Linked DNA regions of Mus musculus. The protein of the gene in region 6 purifies or fractionates together with the protein of the main gene of each other region. This does not show direct contact. Links are inferred from orthologs where the notes say so. Each region holds a gene or a part of one and is shown on either strand. Other genes may lie near its edges.

The links.
Region 1: the proteins of Rrs1 (region 6) and Npm1 purify together in Homo sapiens (affinity purification with mass spectrometry; 3 studies listed by BioGRID and IntAct, counting the BioPlex papers as one, with this or other methods). This does not show direct contact. The link is inferred for Mus musculus from reciprocal best matches to the Homo sapiens genes RRS1 and NPM1.
Region 2: the proteins of Rrs1 (region 6) and Ftsj3 purify together in Homo sapiens (affinity purification with mass spectrometry; 3 studies listed by BioGRID and IntAct, counting the BioPlex papers as one, with this or other methods). This does not show direct contact. The link is inferred for Mus musculus from reciprocal best matches to the Homo sapiens genes RRS1 and FTSJ3.
Region 3: the proteins of Rrs1 (region 6) and Nop2 fractionate together in Homo sapiens (co-fractionation; 3 studies listed by BioGRID and IntAct, with this or other methods). This does not show direct contact. The link is inferred for Mus musculus from reciprocal best matches to the Homo sapiens genes RRS1 and NOP2.
Region 4: the proteins of Rrs1 (region 6) and Nop56 purify together in Homo sapiens (co-immunoprecipitation; 3 studies listed by BioGRID and IntAct, with this or other methods). This does not show direct contact. The link is inferred for Mus musculus from reciprocal best matches to the Homo sapiens genes RRS1 and NOP56.
Region 5: the proteins of Rrs1 (region 6) and Nifk purify together in Homo sapiens (affinity purification with mass spectrometry; 3 studies listed by BioGRID and IntAct, counting the BioPlex papers as one, with this or other methods). This does not show direct contact. The link is inferred for Mus musculus from reciprocal best matches to the Homo sapiens genes RRS1 and NIFK.

The regions. Positions count from the first base shown.
Region 1 is NC_000077.6:33,153,207-33,156,706, forward strand, and holds part of Npm1 (nucleophosmin), read right to left. Parts: coding exon 3,458-3,500; intron 2,899-3,457; coding exon 2,797-2,898; intron 2,015-2,796; coding exon of another isoform or gene 2,006-2,014; exon of another isoform or gene 855-2,005; coding exon 780-854; intron 1-779. UniProt on the Homo sapiens protein: Involved in diverse cellular processes such as ribosome biogenesis, centrosome duplication, protein chaperoning, histone assembly, cell proliferation, and regulation of tumor suppressors p53/TP53 and ARF.
Region 2 is NC_000077.6:106,250,862-106,253,084, forward strand, and holds part of Ftsj3 (pre-rRNA 2'-O-ribose RNA methyltransferase FTSJ3), read right to left. Parts: coding exon 2,220-2,223; intron 2,140-2,219; coding exon 2,039-2,139; intron 1,886-2,038; coding exon 1,805-1,885; intron 1,717-1,804; coding exon 1,567-1,716; intron 1,478-1,566; coding exon 1,342-1,477; intron 475-1,341; coding exon 293-474; intron 163-292; coding exon 45-162; intron 1-44.
Region 3 is NC_000072.6:125,130,510-125,134,682, reverse strand, and holds the start of Nop2 (probable 28S rRNA (cytosine-C(5))-methyltransferase), read right to left. Parts: upstream 2,801-4,173; 5' UTR 2,680-2,800; exon of another isoform or gene 2,654-2,679; intron 2,476-2,653; 5' UTR 2,471-2,475; coding exon 2,365-2,470; intron 1,165-2,364; coding exon 1,119-1,164; intron 970-1,118; coding exon 881-969; intron 137-880; coding exon 1-136. UniProt on the Homo sapiens protein: S-adenosyl-L-methionine-dependent methyltransferase that specifically methylates the C(5) position of cytosine 4447 in 28S rRNA. Required for efficient rRNA processing and 60S ribosomal subunit biogenesis.
Region 4 is NC_000068.7:130,272,935-130,277,211, reverse strand, and holds the start of Nop56 (nucleolar protein 56), read right to left. Parts: upstream 2,801-4,277; 5' UTR 2,739-2,800; coding exon 2,736-2,738; intron 2,579-2,735; coding exon 2,489-2,578; intron 2,181-2,488; coding exon 2,066-2,180; intron 1,698-2,065; exon of another isoform or gene 1,639-1,697; intron 1,550-1,638; coding exon 1,388-1,549; intron 1,237-1,387; coding exon 1,038-1,236; intron 976-1,037; exon of another isoform or gene 843-975; intron 777-842; coding exon 589-776; intron 506-588; coding exon 354-505; intron 181-353; coding exon 80-180; exon of another isoform or gene 1-79. UniProt on the Homo sapiens protein: Involved in the early to middle stages of 60S ribosomal subunit biogenesis. Required for the biogenesis of box C/D snoRNAs such U3, U8 and U14 snoRNAs. Part of the small subunit (SSU) processome, first precursor of the small eukaryotic ribosomal subunit.
Region 5 is NC_000067.6:118,324,843-118,328,342, reverse strand, and holds part of Nifk (MKI67 FHA domain-interacting nucleolar phosphoprotein), read right to left. Parts: intron 719-3,500; coding exon 610-718; intron 1-609.
Region 6 is NC_000067.6:9,544,106-9,547,955, reverse strand, and holds Rrs1 (ribosome biogenesis regulatory protein homolog), read right to left. Parts: upstream 2,549-3,850; 5' UTR 2,433-2,548; coding exon 1,335-2,432; 3' UTR 501-1,334; downstream 1-500. UniProt on the Homo sapiens protein: Involved in ribosomal large subunit assembly. May regulate the localization of the 5S RNP/5S ribonucleoprotein particle to the nucleolus.

The DNA.
Region 1 (3,500 bases), on a different chromosome or scaffold from region 6:
AATTCTAAAACTTAGGTCAATCTGTAGCTAACACGAAAGGACTGAATTTGATGACATCACTACTTCCAATCATTGACAGTCTGCCTCAATCCTAACCACTTTTGACTACAAACCTGGGAGCTATAATTTAAATAGGCAATACTATCATTTAATACTCTACTGCTATATTGTTCCTTTTAATTCTTTTTGAATAGACACCTCTATAGCCAATACTGATGAAACCAATTAAATCAACTGTTCATTCAGAAGGTCTAACATTAACCCATTATATTTACTATTTAACACTGTAAATTCATACCACTGGGAAGAGATCACTGGTAGTGCTTTGCCCTTGCATGGCCCAAGTATCCTAATACCACAATAAACATAACAGTAACTTGACATGCAAGAGGCTTTAACCCATCTAGGTTGATTCTACCAATTTTACCCTCCTTTGCTATCTGGAGAAGATACTACCACTTCCAAGAGTCCAAGTATCATCAGACTGTAAAGCAGCCAAATGGAGCAAATAAAAACCATATCCTATTTCCTTAGCCAATACACTACTAAGAGTAAAACTAAGTTCAGTAACCAAGAGATAATTTACCAACTATTTAAAACCTGGGAAAAATGTGCACTAAAAAATTATTTGCTCAGTCTGCCAATTAAATTCTTTCCATGTATTTAAGTACTGTCTGTGGTTAGGAACTTTTTACAAGGAGCCAACAACTTGAGACTAAAAGTCATAATAAATCAATGAAAATTTTAGATTTGGTCACGTCCACAGAAAATTCAGTTACCTCCTGGTCAGTCATCCGGAAACAATTCTTCACATAATTAATGAACTTGGCTTCCACTTTGGGAAGAGAACCGCCCTATTGAGGGGAAAAAAAGCATTATTAAGGACAAACAGCAATTGTTTGAGACATCATTAGAAAAAACTTCCAAAGTTTTACATGCCATTACACAAACTATAACCCTTTAACATTCCCATTTGATTAAAAACCAACATTAAAGCCAGGCATGGTGGCGCACGCCTTTAATCCCAGCATTTGGGAGGCAGAGGCAGGCGGATTTCTGAGTTTAGCCTGGTCTACAAAAGTGAGTTCCAGGACAGCCAGAGAAACCCTGTCTTGGAAAAACAAAACACAACAAAAAAAAACCAACTCTGGGCCCAAACCCAGAAAGACCATGGTTTTTTATTGCTTAATGCCCAGTTCCTTCCAAACAGCCAATTTAAACTACAGAGGGCTCTACTGGCATGCAAGTACAGCCACTTGGGTGCCTAATATACAAATTCATGTTATCACCTATCACCAAAAAACAAATTAGATACGACCTGTTCATAAGTGTTTTCCAATTACCTAGGAAAGCACGCAATTGAAGGGATTTAAAAGTAGGTACCTTATTACTAACTGTAGCATCGATTTGGCATGCTTCCAATTATGAATGTAGACTAAACCACAATTATCAGCAAGTTTTGCTGCCAAAATTCTTACAAATTAAGATACTGCAATGCAAATGTTAACTTATCAGCATAAAGTGTCACTACAGATTATCCCCTATTTCATATAAAATCCACTTCTCTAAATTTTAACCTTTTTGCATTTCTATGCACTTAGCAAGACTAAGGCTTCCAAATTCCAGAATCACCTTGAGTATTAAGGTACTCAATTGCCTTCATCACCTAGAAAATAATTCACTACGGTAATTTGAAAATATTGTCACATACATCCTTATTGATTCATTTAAAAATTTATTGAGAGTAGCTAAGGATACAAAGGTTAAAACATGGTCAAAGAAATGAGGCATATGCACAAGTGGTAGAGAAGTAGTTTTCTGCATCACAAAAGTAAAAGAAAAATGCTTTAGGAAAAACAAGATTGCTTCCAGCCTGCAAGGGGGAATGGATGGCCAATCAGGAAAGGGGATTGAGATGTCTGGATTGTTGATGGTACTATATTTGTTTCTCCTTTTCCTCTTTCCCCATCTTTGGGCTTAATTTACCAGTAGTGCCCAGGAATGTTCAATGCGCCTGCAATTAAACCAAGGAGATAGGACCACATTAAAATGGGGGGGAGGGGCATCATTTTAGCAGTGTATGCAAGGGATAAAAAATAAATCAGTGACACCAGGAAACTTAAGTTTACAGTTTAATAAGAAATATGAAATGTGCTGCCAAGTGCTAAATTCCAATCCATTTGTGGCTGCACAAAGGAAGAAAATCTTCTGAAGCCATGTGAGAACTACAAGACAGGAAAAAAATAGGAAAAAGAATGGGCAATCTGCATAACATTCCACATGTATTCAAGTAATTCACATGTTAGAATCATAATGGAGATAAACTTAGCTCTCCAAAAAAAAAAAAAATCATTTGTATTATTCCATTCTACACAACCCAGGTTTATATAAATGTATTTAGTCCCAGCCAAATGCCAAGAAAGATAAATTCTATTTCAAACTAGATGAAAGCCTATTAGCCACACACACAAATTTCAGGTCATGGACTGAGGGAGCTTTGGAACAGAGGGCACAGAAATAACTCAAATTGTTGTGAAATACTTAAAGGTGATTCTTTTTTTCTTAGCTATAAAATAACCTCAGGCAGCCAACCACTTTACTCTTACTTTTCCAGCTGTTTTTAATTTTACTGAAAACAAAACACCCTCTGCTTGTTCTACAGCATAACCCCAGTAAAAAAAGTACCCTTATACATTTTATTGGAGTAATTTATGAATATTCTTACTTATAATCTACTTTTAACCCAAATTCCCACATTAGTAGAATTTCTAATATTCAAAGGTTAATTTTACTCACTTTTTCTATACTTGCTTGCATTTTTGCCTTAATGTCTTCTACAGAACTAGGTCCTTTTGGTGTTTTAGGAGTCTTTTCCTGTTTTTTGAAGGACTCTTGACCCTGGAAAAAGTTTTCAAAGATTATTAGTACAGTTCTTAACAAAGTAATTACCAAGATTTCCCTCCTCCCTAAAATCCCTTATAGAGCACAGAGAAGTTGCTAATTGTTCCTAGCTAGAAAGCCTGTCAGGACTAGAGGGCTGAAGATGCATAAGCAGTTAGAGGTCAGAGTTCAATTCCCAGCAACCACATGGTAGCTCACAACCATCTGTCTGAAAAACAGCTAGTGTACTTATATAAATAAATCTTAAAGTAAAAGATTGGAAGAGATGCTTCAAAATAAAGTCAATCAATCCTGACAAGCCTCTTAAGACAACTCCTGACCTCTACAAATACACACACACCACCCAGATCGTGAAAGCTATAACAGGTCAGAATTCAACAAGTCTACAAAATAAGTCAACCTTGGAATCCACCACAGAACATGACACACTTCACAAATTTATGTATTGGGCTATCTTAGTGTGCACTATAGTCTATTATGTAGGCAAGGTTAAGTACCACAAAGCACAAAGTTTTTTTAGGCACTGAATTTAGTAGGTCTGTTGTTGGGTACTTACCTTTGATCTCGGTGTTGATGGTTTTAAGTCTTTTCCATTTTGG
Region 2 (2,223 bases), on a different chromosome or scaffold from region 6:
CTTCTCTAGGGAGTGCCACTTCCCACCAGTCTCCCTAGCTCTACCTTGGAGAACCACAGGCTAGCTTGCTCTTCCTGCAGTACTGCCTTTTCTTCCAGTGGTACCAGCAATGGATTTTCTCCTTCTTCCTCTTTATTGTCATCTACTTGAGTAAACCGCAAGCTGTAGACCCAAAGGAAAGAGGTCAGATTCAAGAGACCCAACCAACCTCATAGGCCTTTCTTTGTCCGTGCCCACACTAGTTAATTCTGTCTCAGAGGGCAGCACTTCCTCTCAAACAGAGAGCCCTTACTACTTCTGCTCCTTCAGATCCGAGTGTGTCCTGACTCCTGCCAGCTCTTCTGGATCCAGGTCACTTTCCAGAGAAGTATCATCATCGTCCTCAGCATCTGACACATAGATGTCATCCCTTGGCAGATCAGACAGAAAGGTGTCTGCAGCGTTCATGTCTCCTTGTGTTACTTCCTCTAATAACTGAAATAGATTCAAGAACTTAGGCAGCATCTTCCCAAGCCCATTAACTTAGCTCAGCAACATCAATAAGAAAGAACACTGGCAAATAATAGTCCCTACACAGCAGCCGTGACCTAGGAAGTAATCAACCTGTCTAAAATGTACAGGGCGCTGATCTACATACTGACTAGTTTACAAAAAACCCTCAAAAGCCACTTGACATACAGAATTCACATTTGTGTAATTTGATCCCAAATAAAGGAGCACTCAACAGGCATCAAACTGCATCTGTTGATTTTGACTACTATTAGAACCCCAAAACCTCTACTCCTGGTGGACAGAGCTGCTCTGTGAGTATCACACCATTCTGGGGGTAATACTCAACCATTTTTTTAAACCTCTCCATATGGTATGGTGTATTCTTATTTAACAAGTGGGGAAAACAGACTTAAGTTACACAATAAAAGGGGAGTTGGCACTAAACCGTTCCTGCTCTATTGCCTCTCCTGTGTCATAAAGGTGACCAGGCCATTGCACCACAAAAGCTCATTTTGCTGTGAGATTGCTTTGAAAGGCTTATTCTTCAGCAGCCCAAATCACAGTGCTCATTAAACCCAGTGAGTCAATTGTGCCCCCTTGGTAACACAGGCATTACAACTTCATCTCCTGTCATGTGAACTCTTGGTCTTAACTCTAGTTTATAGAGCTTCCTGATGTCATCATATTAGAGGTGTTTCATTTGAGCATTCTGGAGTCTCGGGTACTCCTTTTCTCCTCTAGTATTTATAGGTAAACACAACAACCAAACCCCACGATCACTCAATATATTTAACTCGATGCTTCCCCCGACCTCTGAGCCCTCAAACCGATGGCCCAGCTCTCCCTTACCTGCTGGCCACGGATGGTTCGCAGGGAGAACATGCCTGTCTCCCCCTCATCTGCAATAGAAACCCCAGGCAGATCCATCTTCAGCTCGACACGCTCCCGCTGCTTCCTCTGCTCACGAAGCAACTTCTTCTTCTTCCTGATCAGATGTTGAGGGATTTAACCTGCTTGTCTCCAAAACTTGAGTGTCCTTTACCCTTTTCATATACTCCTCCTCAGACCCCTCACCTCTTGAGTTCTGCCACTTCTTGGGCTTTCATCTCTGCCAGAGTCCGATTAAGCTGTTCTTCCTCTCTCTCTTCTTCTTCCTCTGGCGCCTGCTTTGTCTCAGCTACTGCCTCTTCTTCATCACCTTCTTCTTCTTCTTCTGAGCTGAGGCTGGCAAACCAGTCGAAAGGTGTGTTTATTTTCCCAGACACTTGATCCCACACCCAACCCTCCCTAACCCTGGCTACCTCCTCCTTACCTGATGTCCAATGCCTTTGCTTGCTCTTTCAGCTTCTTAGCCACATATCGCCGAAGCTTTGTTCTCCAATTCAGAAGAGACCTGCCCAAGAAATACTATTACTGACTAATCTACCCCCATCTTTGTCCCTGTCTCTTCCTTAAAAGCCCACACTCCAGATTTCAGGGTTTAGCCATAAACAACAAAATCCTGGTCCCCAGAGTCCAACATCATGTTGCCCTTACACCTGTGTACCTAAGTTCCTTTCGCCCCAGCACTTTGATGTCCTGACAGCATACTCTAATGTCTTCAGTTGTAGCTGGATGCTGTGCCAACTCTTCATCATCTATTGAGATCTGTTTGTGAGGGAAGGGAATGGGATGTTGTTCTGGCCATGTTTTCAGGCCTCCCGGAGACTCTCACTCTGGGAACTCACTTCG
Region 3 (4,173 bases), on a different chromosome or scaffold from region 6:
ATATCTTCATCACTGTCCTCAGAGCCCCAAAGGTCCCCCTGGGTCACCACATCGTCTTCCCCCGAGTCTTCCTCCTCGTCCCCATCACTGTTTTGAATTGGTGCTGGGCGCTTCTTACCTCGAGCCTGGACTGCTCCTGAGAAGAGTGAGGGTTTGCCAAACCCTGGATGGACGGCAACCACACCCTGCCTCACACCCCTGGAGCCTGTACTTTCTAGCCCTAAGCATGGTCTCTGAGGGCTGGAGAGATGGCTTTACTTAACAGTTAAAAGCACAGACCCCAGAACCCACATATGACAATTCACAAGTACCTATATCTCCAACTCTCAGTCGATTCAGCATCCCACTCACGAGCACACAACCACATTCGGACACACACAAGAAAGAGTAAAAATAGGGCCGGAGAGAAGACTCAATGGATAAGAGCAGGCGTTGCCCTGGCACTCGAATGGTGGGGATTCACAACCATTTGTAATTCCAGTTCCAGGGGATCCGATGCCTTCTTTTGACCTCCACAGAACCAGGCACCCACATGACACTCACTCATATATGCAGGCAATACACTCATATATATAAAATAAACTGAGTTGTGATTTTTCAAAAGTAAGGCAGAAACAGTTGGATCTCTGTGAGTTCATGGCCAGCCTAGTCTACAAAGTGAGTTAAAGGATACTCAAGGCTACACAGAGAAAATCTGTCTCTTACCACGGCCTGAGCTATCTCCAGCATCTTAAAGAAACAAACAAACAAAAAAAAAAATATATATATATGTACATATATATATATTTTGCTTTGCCGTTCCTTCCATTCTAGAAACAATTAGCCCTATCCAGGTCCCAGAGGATTCTTCACAGAGCAACCAACTCCTATAGTCACTAACCTTTGGATAACTCTCCAGGCAATGTTTTGATCCCAGGAGACTTATTTGGCTTAGGGACGTCAACAGACCCTGCCCTCCTCTTGGCTGCCCTGAAAGAATACAGAAAGTGAAGACAAGGGAACATACCTCCGGGTTCTGCCACCTCCCACCACAAGGAAACAAGACAATGCACAACCAGCCCTCTTCACCCATGGATCCAGCAGCTACAATCTCACTAAACCAGCGGATTCACACTCACCGCTTTCGGGCACGACTCGACAGCCTCTTGGAATTCTCATCGCCAGCTGTTAATTTAAAAAAGGGATAGATTAGGAATTTATAGGAAATACAAACTGGGGGCAGGCATGTAATTAGGAAGAGAGAGAATCACCACGTTAACGAAGAAAAGTGTGGCAGTGGTAGAGCGAGTTTGTTTGTTATGTACAAGTCCTCATATTCACCCACGGCAGCAGGAAAGACTAAGGCTATAAACTACAGTCCATGGGAGTCACTCCATACAAGTCATCCAGGAGTTACAGGAGATGTGAAAGACAGGCCAATAGTACAGCCTGTGCGGAGTATGGGGAAAGCCCAAGGCTCCATTCCCATCACTTCCAGAAAACTTAAAAAGACCAAAAGAAGCCAGGTGTGGTGGTGAACGCCTTTAATCCCAGCACTCGGGAGGCAGAGGCAGGCAGATTTCTGAGTTTGAGGCCAGCCTGGTCTACAGAGTGAGTTCCAGGACAGCCAGGGCTATACAGAGAAATCCTGTCTCGAAACCCCCACCCCCACCCCACCCCACCCCAAAAAAGACCAAAAGATGTAGAGGAGAGGAAGCAGCCATCAGACTGTTCAGCAAGGAAACTCAAACAGTGACATTCTGATAACAATGTAACCTCAAACCCCTTTTCTGCCCTTCCCTTATTCTCAGCTTATTCAGTTATCAACTAAATTAGAACTTAATTTTGCTATTTTTGGTTTTACAATCTACAAGAAATGTCCCTTTTCACTTACTGTGTGTTAAGACACCTCTAACCTAACAAATAACAAAGCCTCTCTCCCAGGACTCTAAAATTCGATGAAGTGAGACCATGTGTCCATACAGTTGAGGATCTCCTTCATGGGCCTGTGGCTTGCCAATATTTCAACAAACTGCATCTTCCATCATCCTTCACCACAGAGGGCTCAGATCCGTGCTTTCATTCCATCTCTTCCGGACAATTCGTGACCGGTCTGTTCCGTTTCCAACTCTTGCTTACCAAAACTAAGCTTAATAACATCTTTCCAAATTCTTCATGAGAACTCCCTTCCTGGAAACGGAAGATCGCACCGCTCCTCGCACGAGTACCATGCCCCAGTGGCAGCTTCCCACCCTTCTCTAACCCAAACTATTTATCTCCTAACAGCTCACATCTATGCAGCAGGTAAAGGCGAACACGCAAACGAGAAGTTATGGCACAAAATGGGGCAAAGGCTGGCCGGGATCAGGGAGCTACGACCCTCACCTGCAGGCAAAAATCTGACCAATTCGGTCTCCGCACCCTTCTGTTTTCGGGCCTTTCGGCCGGGTCCACGCTTCTCCTTCTTCGTAGGATCCAACTTGCGCCCCATGATAACTAAAGCAAAGACAAACGAGGCAAAGCGACGTTGTGGATGCTGAAATGGGAACGCAGGCCGTAGGCTTAAGGATATTACCAGGGATGGGTACCGCCCGGCCCAGGACCACTACTCAGGACCCCGATGGCCCCCTCCAGGATCTCCCACAGGACCTCGTCACCACGCCCCTCTCGGAACCTTGCTCCGCGATCCTGCAGACGCACCTGAAGGCTCGGCTCGCCTAGACCTGGTTCCGGCTGACCCGGCACCTCCAGTCAAGGCCCGCTCCACGTGCACTGGGGGGAAGAACTCAGAGGTCGCACACCGCGAAAGTGAATCGCGCAAGCGCAAAAAGGGTCGTCACAACGCCCCGCCTCTTCCGGCCGCGGCACCGGAACACACGTGATCCAGGGACACGCCCCTCACCCGCGGTTCAGAGAGGGAAACGCGCGGCGCTGCGGTCAGCGTTTCTCTGCCCTCGGTTCGGAAGGTGGCTTCCGCCCGCTACTCCCGAGGCCGCACGCTCCTTCCACCTAGCACCGCAACTTGGCCCTCCCGCTGGCACCCTAATTGCCTTAGCCCGCAAGATCGCGGGGTCCCACGCCCCTCGCCCTCCTGTTCCCAAAGTTTTGTATTAGAGCCGCTTTCCTTAGAGGTAACCCTCCCCTCCGGACCCTTTCACATAGGAACACGCACTCGGCCGGCCTTCCTTCCAAGCAGGGAGACCGCTTAGCGGATAAACGCGCTTGTCTCCGAGCCTGCAGAACTGAGTCTTTGAGTCCAGGACCCACCCATCTAGTGGCATCGGGCACAAACTCCTACAAGCTGCTCTTTGACCTCCACGTGCACAGTGATGCTATGTACAAATTATATAAGAGAGTGGTAGTTCTCTATAATCTCAGCCCTCTGCAAGAAGCAGGTGAATCTCTTTAACTTGAGGGCAGCCTGGAATTCCTGGACCCAGGATTACACAAAGAAACCCTGTCTCAAAGAAAACCAGTAATAAGGGGCTGGAGAGATGGCTCAGCAGTCAAGAGCACTGACTGCTCTTCTAAGGGTCCCGAGTTCAAATCCCAGCAACCACATGGTGGCTCACAACCATCTGCAATGAGATCTGATGCACTCTTCTGGTGTGTCTGAAGTGTACTCATATATAATAATAAATAAATCTTCAAACAAAAAAAAAGTGATAACAATAAACCAAGGAAAAAATTTTAGGGTACGGTAACATCCTTAATTCCCCCACTTGAGAGGCAGGGGCAGGCAGTAGTTACTTAGACCCTCAAAAAATTTATACTTAAGGTAACACATCCTTAATTCCCCCACTTGAGAGGCAGGGGCAGGCAGTTGTTACTTAGACCCTCAAAAAATTTATACTTCTATAATTACATATTCACGCATATGTATTCCATGGTAGAACACTTGCCCAATGTCTTCACAACTGTACCAGGCAAGTGGCTACTTCCTGCAGGAGTGCTCTGCGAACAGTTTGCTAAAGATCAGAGCCTATAAACAATGGTCCAGAAGCCTCTTGTTCGCCAGAATGTCACCCTGTCAGGAGCACAGGCAGTCTTCCAGGATAAGCCAGTTCCTGGGGTACCTGGAACCCACACTCACCCACACAGAACCAGATCACTAAAATACAAGGAAACTTTTATTTTCAGTTCTCATCAAGAAATTTGCTGTGGTTTTTTATGCTTTTGGTTCTTTTTCTTTTT
Region 4 (4,277 bases), on a different chromosome or scaffold from region 6:
CAGCCATCATTGTAATCCCCAAACAAAACAGTGGACACCAGAAGCAGCACCTGACATGAGCAGGCGCCCTCACTGGTACCTGAACAGGGCCTTTTCAGCCCCAAGGATCTGTACTGTGGACGCTGGATACTTGGCCAGGTTGGTGAGGCTGCCAGCATGAGCAATGAGGCGTGCACCTACCTGGAGAAAGATCCGAGGAGGAGGTCAGGTGAGTAAGTGGGAACCTGACCTCCCAGGCTCATCCCCTCTTCTCTTCCCCACCATGCATCAACTAGGGACAACATGCTAGCCACAAGGATAGCGGTACAGAATGCTGAGTTTCACTCCCCCACTTTGTGTTCCCCATGACGCACCGCTTCCCCAATTAAGGCTGACAGGCTGGGGGCTACTTGGCTCATCTTGGAGCGAAGGTAAGTGTGTAGGCTCTGGCGATACTCTGACAAAGACACCACACGACTGGAGAAGCTCTCGATGTTTATCAAGTCGATAGCAGATATGTCCATGCCTAGGAAACACCTAGTGTGAACAGGGGGACCAGATACTCAAGGAGTCTCGTACCTTATACAGGCTGCCGCGCTCCGCACTGACCCATGGAGGACCGAGAAGCATCCAAGATGGCCTTAGCCTTGGCCCCGTCCATCGTAATTTCTTCCAGTTTCTCTAACTTCTCTTCATTCAGCTCCCTGCGGTTCCCAATGAACTGAGCCAAGCGACAGTATGTGGCGTTGTCATTGACGATCTTCACCAGCTCTGGAAAGTGGTACCCATACCACTCCCTGTAGAGGAAGTCATTCTCTGATCCAGCTATCAAACCTCAACTCAGGTCCCAAGCTCTCTCAGGCCCGTGTCTCCCCATTCACAATACAGACCAGGCACAGTGGCCTAGGCTGAGGTGTACATGGGGTAGGTTTATTCTGCCTCCTCTTTCTATACAGTCAGTGTAGGAACACAGCCTGTGGTAAGCACAAGGAGGCCTTGCTTTGGTCCATGATTTTACCCACATGAATCATCGGCCATGCTCGACTTCTATACCTTACCTGACGCGCATCGAGAAGGTATTGATATCTTTATCCAGTTGGTCCAGGAGGCTTATGGACTGAATAATCATGTTGTCCACTCGGTTCACATTAAATTTAACTTTGGCACGAGAGTAGCTGTGTCCCAGCCCTAGCTGGGCCTTACAAGCAGAAAGATCTGTCAGACCCTTCACCAGATTATGGAAATGCAGACGAACTCCTAAAAAGAAGATGGGACTTTAAGAATAGATCCTCCAGGACCCAAGTAACCACTCACAGCAGATCACATCACCAGGCCCGTAGGCCCCCTGCTGGCTTCTGTGGGCACTGCATCCACGTGGTGGACAGAATAAATGAAATAGGACTCTTACCTCGAAGGATCTCAGCTATCACACCACCAGTCTGGCAGTTGTACCCCAACTCTTCCTGTATTGCAGCACCAATCTTGGGGTCTCCAACCCCCAGAAGTACTTTCTTCTTTTTAGATGGCAGGTATGTCTCCAGGAGCAGGCGGAGGTCCTCGTGAACAACACCTTTGGGACAAAGAAAACAGCTCTAAACCACACATTGCAGATTGGAGACTGTCTCCAATCGGATTAGTTAACACCCATCCCCGCAGGCATTGCTCAGACACATGGAGTCGTCAGTGATCTCTCAGGGGATTGACAGATATATAAGTCATCATTGCAAAGCCTGGCTCTACCACAGGTCCAGGAGCACAATTGTAAAGCATTTAAGTGCTTTTTAAATTACAAGATTTATTTATTATATGTACACTGTAGCTATCTTCAGACACCCCAGAAGAAGGCATCAGATCTCATTAGGGATGGTTGTGAGCCACCATGTGGTTGCTGGGATTTGAACTCAGGACCTCTGTAAGAGCAGTCGCGCTCTTAACCGCTGAGCCATCTCTTCAGCCCCTGCATATTAATGTTTTAAAATGCCATCCTGTAGGTCTCAAATAATCCCTAGACTGTATCAAGCTTAGAAGAAAATCATCTAAGAACATCAACCACCCAGAATCCCATGTTCCGGAGGGACCGACTCACCTTCAGACACAGCATTGGCATTTTCCAAGGCCACCTGGGATGAAGAGAAGGGACAGAAGGCCACCAGACGAACGACATTGTGGAATTTGCCAAGGTTAAGCACACATTCCTCCACCTGGAGAGAAGGATGAATGGGCTTTCTTTGAATTTGGCTTCTACAGCGCAGTAAGGCAGAAGCACCAGCTGTTGTAGCAATTGGTGCCTGGGCCCCGAATCTTAATTCTCAAGAAATGGAAATGAGATGTTTATCTCCGACCGCTTCCAATTATATAGATTCGCGTTAAAGAGTCCCCTCATTCTAGAGCTCCCCCCCCCCCCGCCGGGCCCGGTGCGGTCGGCCACGTGGGAACACGCGGTGCATGCTGGGGTTTGGCGGCCTTAGGGGCTGCATTGCAGCTCCGCGAGCCCACCGAGCTCACCCACCTGCGGCAGCAGCAGGCTGATCTCCTCCACTTCCTTCAGCGCCAACAGCGCGTAGCCGACCGCATGCTCGAACAGCACGTGCAGCAGAACCTGAAAAGAACCGGCGCGCGGCCATCAGTCAAACTTCCCAGTCCGCGGGGCCGCTGCTAGAGCAGGCCCTGGCTCAGACCCGGAGCACGACCCCGAATGCAAACCCAGACGCACGCTAAGGCCTTCACTACGCAAATACCCCACCACCACTCCTCACCATGGCGCCTGCTCCGTGCCCAGCTCGCAATGCGGCTAGCGCGCTCTGGCGCGCGGAACCAGACTGCGGAGACCACACCTTCTCCGGTTTGACCAATCAGAGGCTGCGGACGAAACCATTGTCAGGTCTTCGGAGGGGGTTCGCGGGTGTGGTATCGTCCGTCGGGCGGGTTGGACTACCACGGGCGCGAGCGGGCCTGCCAAGCCCAGCCTCTGCGGCTGCGCGAGCCGGTACTGCGTCTGTAGTGAATGGTGTCGCTCCTGCCGGCAGGCCGCAGAGTGGCCTGGAGACCACCCTTCTTCGTTCCTCGTGCTTTTGTCACCCGTGTGCCGGGCGGCAGAACTCGGTGAGGGGACATGAGGCTTCCTGATAAGCCTCGCAGGTTTCCCGCTGCCCAGATATTCCGGGTCCTCGTGGGACCCGGCCTCAGACCCTGCAGAAATGGCGTCTTCTTGCTGCCTGCCTCTTCCTTTTACATTTTGTTGTTAACAAAATTGTTGGTGCGGGCTGAGGCATAGACAAGAGCGGTTTACCTCTTCCTAGTTCTGTTCCTTTCCCTGATTCATAGAACCCAGCGCTGCTCGGCACCACGTGGTTGCTCATGGCCGCGTAGGCCCAGAATTCTTCCAAGGAGCTGCGTTCCTGTTTTTTTCAGTGCCAGTTTTAGGCACACCAAGGTGGATAATTTAAAATCACCTTTGCTTTAAAAAAGAAAATAAAAAGACACTTTACTTTAGTGTTAGGATTATAAATCCCAAACTTGATGGCCTAGTCGGCCATCAATGGGAGGAGAGGCCCTTGGTATTGCTAAGATCATATGCCCCAGTACAGGGGAATGCCAGGGCCAGGAAGCGGGAGTGATTGGGTTGGGGAGCAGGGCGGAGGGAGGGTATTGGGGGCTTTGGGGATAGCATTTGAAATGTAAATTCAGAAAATATCTAATAGAGAGAGAAAATAAATCCCAAACTTGAATAGTCTCTCTTAAATAGTCTATGCCTTATGCGAGAAAAAAGAATCATGGAGTAAGTCGGCTGTACATTGTCTATCATGGAGTAAGTCGGCTGTACTTTCTCTATAATGGAGTAAGTTGGCTGTACATTGCCTGTAATGGAGCTGGCTTGGATAATAAAGTGGACTTGGATAGTAAAGAAATGTGTATGTATTGCAACTAGGAAGCTACAAGCGCTTGGCAGGACATGGTGGAACGCACCTTTAATTCTGGTATTTGGGAGGCAGAGACAGGCCTGGCTACATAGCAAATTCCAAGGCAGATAAGGTTACCCAGTGAAACTCTGTTTCAAGAAAAGTAAGCTATAAATGCTTGTGATTAGATGAGGCGACACAGCACAAACAAACAAGCAAAACAAGATGTTCCTTTGGCTTCCTCACCTCCACCACTTCATTAAAATGTCACCCCAGGAGTTGAATGGTGACACGCACCTTTAATCACAGCACTTTGGAGGCAGACATCTGTGAATTCAAGGCTAGTTTGGTATATATCGATAGCTCCAGGCTAATCAAGGTTACATGGTAAGACCCTGT
Region 5 (3,500 bases), about 110 Mb from region 6:
CAGGGCAAGGAAGACTTTCTACTCTCTTACTCTCTGCTTCACTTCTTTCAAACTGCCTCTTACTGAGCCCGGAGCCGGGCTACGGCCAGGGCTGCACCTCCCTCACTGAGTCTGATCTTGAAATGTGATTCTTTACTTTTGGTCTTGCCCTGTGTAGACTCGGCTAAGAGGCTGCACCCAGGCCTCACAGACCTGTAGCCCATCTTCTGCTCCCCATTTGAATCCCCTAACATCCCAATAACTAAAGGTTAGTGACCTCTGGTTTGGCATTCACCACTCACTGGGTAAGAAATGACCTCAGGCTGCACTGCCATCCTTTTCCTGGCTTATGCCTATCTAACCCCCAGTTTTCTTTTCCTTTTTTGATGACATAAGGTCTCTACAGAGCATTGGATGCCTCTGGACTTAGAGAGATCAGCCTGCCTCTGCTTCCCAAGTGCCAGGATTAAAGGCGTGTACCACTAATGCTGGGCTTTAACCCCACCAGTTTTCAATTTGAGCAAAATTCTTTCCAATCACACATTAAAGATGGGTCAGCTTCTCTTCCGAGTACAATGTCACGAGTAACTTTGTAATCCCATCACAGTGCAGAAAGGTCAGAATACTTACATGATAGAAGTCTTTCACCAAAAAGGTAGTTATCCATTGTTTCTGCAACTATCTTGGCAACATCCTCAGACTCAAACTCCACAAAGGCATAGCCTTTGCTGTTTCCAGTCTGTAACAGAAAAACCCACAAAAGAGCAGTTAAGTCTAACTATCACCAAGCTCCTAAAAAGCCCCAGTCGCAACTTTTACTATTTCAAAGCCGCTGGCCCCTGCCCCCATCCCCCAAACTAACACACAGACAGACAGATAAGACAGTCACAGCTTGGAATATAGATTTTCTGGTATCCTTAAAATTCGGCTTAGTATGATACATCCCTGAGTATTCTGGCTACAATGAATTCAGTAGTACTCGCTGGTGGTAAGAAGGCTATCTTTTGGGCTTTCACAGTTCTGGATTTGTCTACTCATTTCTCATTTCATTGGCAGTCTTATTTGGCACACACCAGCGAGGGCCAGATTTTTTTTCCTTCATTAAAACCCTAGCAGTCTGGGTAATCCCAGACTGGAATCCCAGTTACACAGGAGGCTGAGGCAGGATCTTGTGAGTATAATGAGGACAGTCTGGGCAACTAAGTAAAACTGTCTCAAAATAAAATAGCAATGTAAGCCCGTGCTAACCTATCGTGTTTCCCCTGGTTCAGTCCCCAGTGCCAGAGGAGAACACAGGCAAGCTCAACCTCACCTCACACATTAAGGGTGGGAACAACCTCCAGGAACAAGCCTCCAGGAACTTGCCCTGATTTCCACAGCCTAGGCAAAGGAACTGGTCTGGACTTCCTAACCCCTGTACCAGCTCATGAGTGGATTCCCACACCCAGAATGGTCATAAGTATAGGGTGGGTTCTGGAGTTCAAATGTCTATATTTCGATCCTGGCACTGACCTGTGTTAAGTAACAGACTGTCATTCCATGAAACGAGGGCAATTTAAAAACTCTCATCAGAAGCCGGGCGTGGTGGCACACGCCTTTAATCCCAGCACTCGGGAGGCAGAGGCAGGCGGATTTCTGAGTTCAAGGCCAGCCTGGTCTACAAAGTGAGTTCCAGGACAGCCAGGGCTATACAGAGAAACCCTGTCTCGAAAAACCAAAAAAAAAACCAAAAAAAAAAAAAAAAAAAACCCTCTCATCAGGATGCCACGAAAATACCAATGTCCCACAAAGCTCAACAACATATTACAAAAACAAACATCAGCAATTCAAAGTTAATTTCAGTTACACAGACAGAGTAAGGCCAGGTTGAGTATCAACCACCAACCATCTCCTACCAACACTTCCAACCACACCAAAACAACAGACTACCACTGCAAACTAACAGATCCTTTGAAAGGGAATTTGAAAGGACATGCCATTCCAAGAACAAAAATCAAGGGCAGTGAAATGACTCACCAGACAATGGCACTACCTACCAAGTCTACCTGACTCCAACCCCAGGAAACACAAGGTGGAAGGAAAAAAAACAAACTAGCTGATTTCTACATTCACTCCTGCCCCATTCTAATAAATAAAAGTAATCAAGAAAGAAAGAAAAGAAACCAAAAAGCCAAGGGTTGGATGCCCAACACAGACAAAAAGGTGGGTTTAAGCCCCAGCATCATAACACAGGCAAAAATCAGAGTTATGAAGTAGCAATGAAATAATTTCATGGCTGTGGGCCGCCGCATGAGAACTGTATAGAAGGGTTGCAGCATTAGGAAGGCTGTAGGGGCTGGAGAGATTGCTCAGTGGCTAAGAGCACTGGACCTGGGTTCAATTCCCAGCACCCACATGGCAGCTTCAATTTCCTAGTTCAGAAGCTCTGATGCCCCCCATTCTGGCTTCTGCAGGTACTAGGCATGCATGCGGTTCACAAACACATAGACAGGCAGAATACCCAGACAGATAAATAATAAAAATTCCCTTTAAGCTGGGCATGGTGATGAGTGCCTATAATCCTAGTAATTGGGAAGCAGAGGTAGGACAGCTACAAGTTCAAGGCCAGCCTGGTCCAGGTAGCAAGTCTGGGACAGCCAGAACTCCACAGTTAATCTCCGACTCCAACCAACCAAATCAAAACCCAACACTTTAAAGGTGCTTAGAAGATGTAAATTTAAAAACCTGTTGAAATACATGGTCTCTGACATGCAAGTGATGGCTCATCCTAGCATCTGAGCCACTTCTTGGCTCTCGAGCTGGAACCAAGTTTCTGGAGTAAATATGGACTCATTTTTCACTGCATCTCACTAGCTGAACAGTGAACAAAGATTGCATCTCCTGGTAGCTGTCAAACAAGTGCAGTAATACATCAAGAATCAGATGTATTTGGGGAGCAACCTCTAGAGCAAGTGAGGAATAGCTATCCTATGAGACTGTAGAGTCTACAGGATTTAGAAGCCATGACTCAGGCAGAGGAAGTGGCTACTAAGATTAGCAGGAAGCTGGAGGAACTGAGGAGAAACACTTGACAAAAGGAAAGAAAGAGGCTGCTGGCTGTGTTGGCCATGGCACCTGCAGGAGACGGCAGTTACATTCCAGACGAGTTCCAGGAGACTCAATGACCCACAAAGAAAGCGCCAAAGCCCACGAGCCTCCTCAGGACAATGCAAGACTCGTCTTCTCCTTCCCCACACGCAAACAAAAGAACAGATGGGACAGCACAAGTCTCCCAAGAGGAAGAATTGCTCAGGGAACTAGGAGAGGCAACCAGCGGGAGGAGTCCCCAGGGGAGGAAATTCTCTTCCAGGGAGGAATCAGTTGGCAGTAGGCCTCAAGAAGGTGGTGGTCACAAAGCGACAATTTCCATCCCCTGACTTAAACCCCGGTAAAAGCAAATTCACAAAAAATGATTCCTGTGGTTTTAGGGGCTCTATTAGAGAAACCTTACATAAACCAAACTTAAGTTCATTAACCCCAGG
Region 6 (3,850 bases):
AAATGTCTCAATGGCAAGAACCCCACTGGGTTTTTCGTAAACTTAAAAAAAAAAAAAAAAAAAAAAAAAGGCCCCAAACTGACCAACCAAAACCCCAAATTAATCTCTGAAAGTTAAGTCCTGTTGTTAGCAGTTGGGAATTGGGCTAGAGGTTACTTTTAGCTGTCAACAGCTTGGCTTTGATAAAGTTCTCATGGATACTTAGAACTATAAACTGGAAGAGTTTATAGTTCTTCTCCAGTGGAAGAGTTCAGTAAAGATGAGCCTAGTTAGAGCTTTACCCAAAGTCACTAACAATCCAGTGTTTCCATGAGTTAAGAGACAAGTTGAGCTTTCCTTGCATTTCTACAAGTAACCTTATAAAACTGAAACCACACTAAGAGTAACCTCCAACCCAATTCCCAACTGCTAGCAACTGACAGACCAACTTGCTTTAAAGAAAACACCCCTTCCTCAATTCTAGAATTGCTATTAATAACTTACAAAAATAATGCAAATACTAATTATGCAAAGATAAGTTTATTAAGAACAAAATAAGACAATGAAACAGGGAAAAACATCTAGGACAGAAATAAACATGAAATCTGCTGCTCGATTATAATCTCAGCACTTGGCCCTGAGTTCCAGGGCAGCCTTGGTTCCATAGTGAATGCCAGATATTTTGACAATATCTAAAACCCAAGCCAATTAAACAAAAGCCACCGGTTACAAACAAAATGACAACTATTTCTGGACTTAAAGCAATCCATTGGCCAAATGCACCACCTGAACCAACACCAAAAAGCACTATACTTTTAATATTATAGTTAGGGCCAAAGTTTTCCTAAAACAAGGGGTCTTTTTTAGAACCACTGTAACTACTTTGTTTTTCTCAAGCACACTCCATATTGGTGCCCAGGTTACTGGCTTCACATGCAACCTCTACCGACAGTAAAAGTTAAAAGCAACACCAGGTACCTGCATCCATTTACAATACTTGCAAATCACAGGTAGATATAATTTTCCCCCGCCCTCCCCGCTTTGATAAATACACAAGCTTTGTTATAAAAATAATGCAAAAATGTTGAAACCAATCTACTGTAACGCAGTATCCAAAGTCAAGATAAAAAGGCAGGCCTTAACTTATTCCTGGTTCTGGCTATATCATTTCTATAATTCTCAAAATACACCAATTTCCAGTCAGTGTCTCTATTAACTCGTCCAGCACTGACTCGAGGGAAGGCAAACCCGTCCTTTTAATGTCAAATGTCACTGAGGGCAGCGGCCACCTATACCGCCCAAGTTAACTTTTAGTACAGTCCCAGCTTTTCAGAACTGGTCCCGAGGGGAGAACGCTACTTCCTCCTCTTCCCACCTTGGGGCGGCACTCCTTTCTTCTTGCCAGCTAAAGCAGAAGGCCAGGAATGCTTTTTGCTTCCCAAGCCTCCTTTCCTCTTTTCTCCCTGACCCGGCGGGCCGCCCTTTCTCTTGCCCGAAGGTCCTTGCCGGCCCCCTTTCCTCTTGCCTTTCTGGCTCATTTTCCTCCTCTTGGCAGCCTCCTCCTGGTCCTCTTCCCTCATCTGCTTGTTGGTGGCCCTCGTCACGTCCAGCCGAGGTTTCTTGCTGTTCATGACTCGAAGTAGCTCCAACTGGTTCTTTTTCTCGGCTGCGAAGTCCCCAAAGAGGGGCTGAAACTTCCTCTTCTTGCCGGAGCCCCGGGGAGCTTTCTCCTTGGGAAGGCGCTCCTGGAAGCGTCCCACCGAAGCGGTGGAAACCTTGGCCACTTGCATGGCGCGGCCCAGCTCTTCCTTACTCTGGTGTCCAGTAGGGTGCAGGCCGGCTGAGCTGGGCATCTGCATCTTGTGCGCGCGAGCCAGGTTCCGCAGACGGTTCAGCTCATTCTTGGCCACGCGTTCTTTCTTGGCCTGAGTCCTCTTGGCGAACTGGTCTTCCATGGGGTCGGCGCTCCCAGGCACCTCGATCAGCCATTCTTTAGTGTCATCCCGGGCGCGCTTGTAGCCCCAACGGCGCCGCCACTGGCCACTCGCCTCGTCCCACACGAGGTTGGTCTTCTTCTTGGGACGGATTCCCTTAAGGCGCGCGAACTGCTGCCAGCGGGTGAGCGGCCGTGGTCGGGGCAGCGGCTTCTCGCGGGGCAGGCGAGTGGCGGGCTCCGGCAAGCGCGCGACCACCGCCTCCTCCACGCGCTCGGTCGGCAGCCGCCACAGCTGGTTGATGAGCAGCTGCGTGTTGTCCCGCGCCAGGGCCCGCAGCTCGGCCTCCGGCGACGGCCCGGCCTGGCGCAGCACGGTCGGGGGGTTGCGGTCCGAAGCCAGCAGGTTGCCCAGGTCGAACTCCAGCTCCAGCTCCTTGTGCACCGTGATGCGCTGCAGCTTCTCCGCCTCCTCCTGCTCTGCCTTGGCCAGCAGCTCCTCCACGCGCTGGCCCTCCATGGCTCTCGCTGCGGCTCGGATCCCTCACTTCGGGACAGCGGCGGGACGTATCGCCACTACAGCAGCACCCTAAACCGGCAACCACGTGCGGACGTCCGGACCCGTAATCCGGAAGAGGAAAGATCACTTCCGGGTTGTCTGGAAGCGGCTCACAGCTAGGCGGGGAGGTAAAGACCGGCAGAGGGCGGCATTGGACAGCAGATGGGCTTAGAGGCGGGACTTGGATTCGTCACCGGATGTTGGCCCGACTGGCGCTGAGGGTTGGCTAACCAGCTCAGGACCTGGTTGGGACTACGTTTCCCAGCATGCTGTGGGGCAGAGGTAGTGCAGTAGGACGCGGGCTGCTCAAACTCTTGGAAGTGCCTGCATTGTAGCTTCCGAATGGAGCGTCTACACCACAGTGTCTATGGGTAAATCTATTACAGAGGTGTTTGGGGCGAGACAAATTATTTCCCCAGAGTTATAGCCCGTTCTCTGTGCCCTAGGTGTGAGCGGAGACAGATCCCACGGATACCTGTCCAAGTTAGGCATTGTTTTGCGACTTAGTAGGGCTTGCAGTTTGTCTGTACGTGGCCTGGGCACCAATTCTGGCCATGCCATTGTTTGTTCCTGTGATATTTGTGTAGGCCTGAAAAATCGTGGAAGATGGAGACTCTGGTAGTATCCAGGAGTGTTTTAAAGGTAAATGTGTTAATAAGCTTGGAGGAAGGCTAAGATCCAGTGAAAACCAAATAGTTTTTATTCAGTAGTCATGGTGGCCTAGGGAGTTAAAAATCTCAGTTTACTATTTACTGCCATCTATTTTTATAGGTTTTTACCTCAGTCCGGTGTTAGAATGGGCACATGTTCATCTAATGTCATCCAAAAAAGTGTTTTGTTTGTTTGTTTGTTTGGTTGGTTTTTTTGTCTTGTCACATAAGTAGACTTTTACTGATTTATTTATTTTTTAGTTTAGATCACATGAACCGGAGGCCGAGCTTGAACTCCCTGTACATCGAAAGAGAACTTGACTTCTTTTTTGTTTGTTTGTTTTTTGTTATTTTTTGAGACAGGGTTTCTCTGTATAGCCCTGGCTGTCCTGGAACTCACTCTGTAGACCAGGCTGGCTTCGAACTCAGAAATCTGCTTTCCTCTGCCTCCCAAGTGCTGGGATTAAAGGTGTGCACCACCACTGAGAACTTCTTGATTCTCCTACCTCTCTCTCAAGCATTAGTGTTTCAGGCATGCAATATCCAGTGTCCAGTTCCATTTTTTAAACTAAGTTTTTGGTTAGAATGCAAAGTAATTATTTTCAATATGGTGCTTTCATACAGGTATCATTGTTATCTCCATCCTTCACTGCCTTCCCCGTCCCCCATAAATAGACATTTAAAAAATGCAGACTAAACTGGGTATGGTGTATAATCCCAGCACTCTAG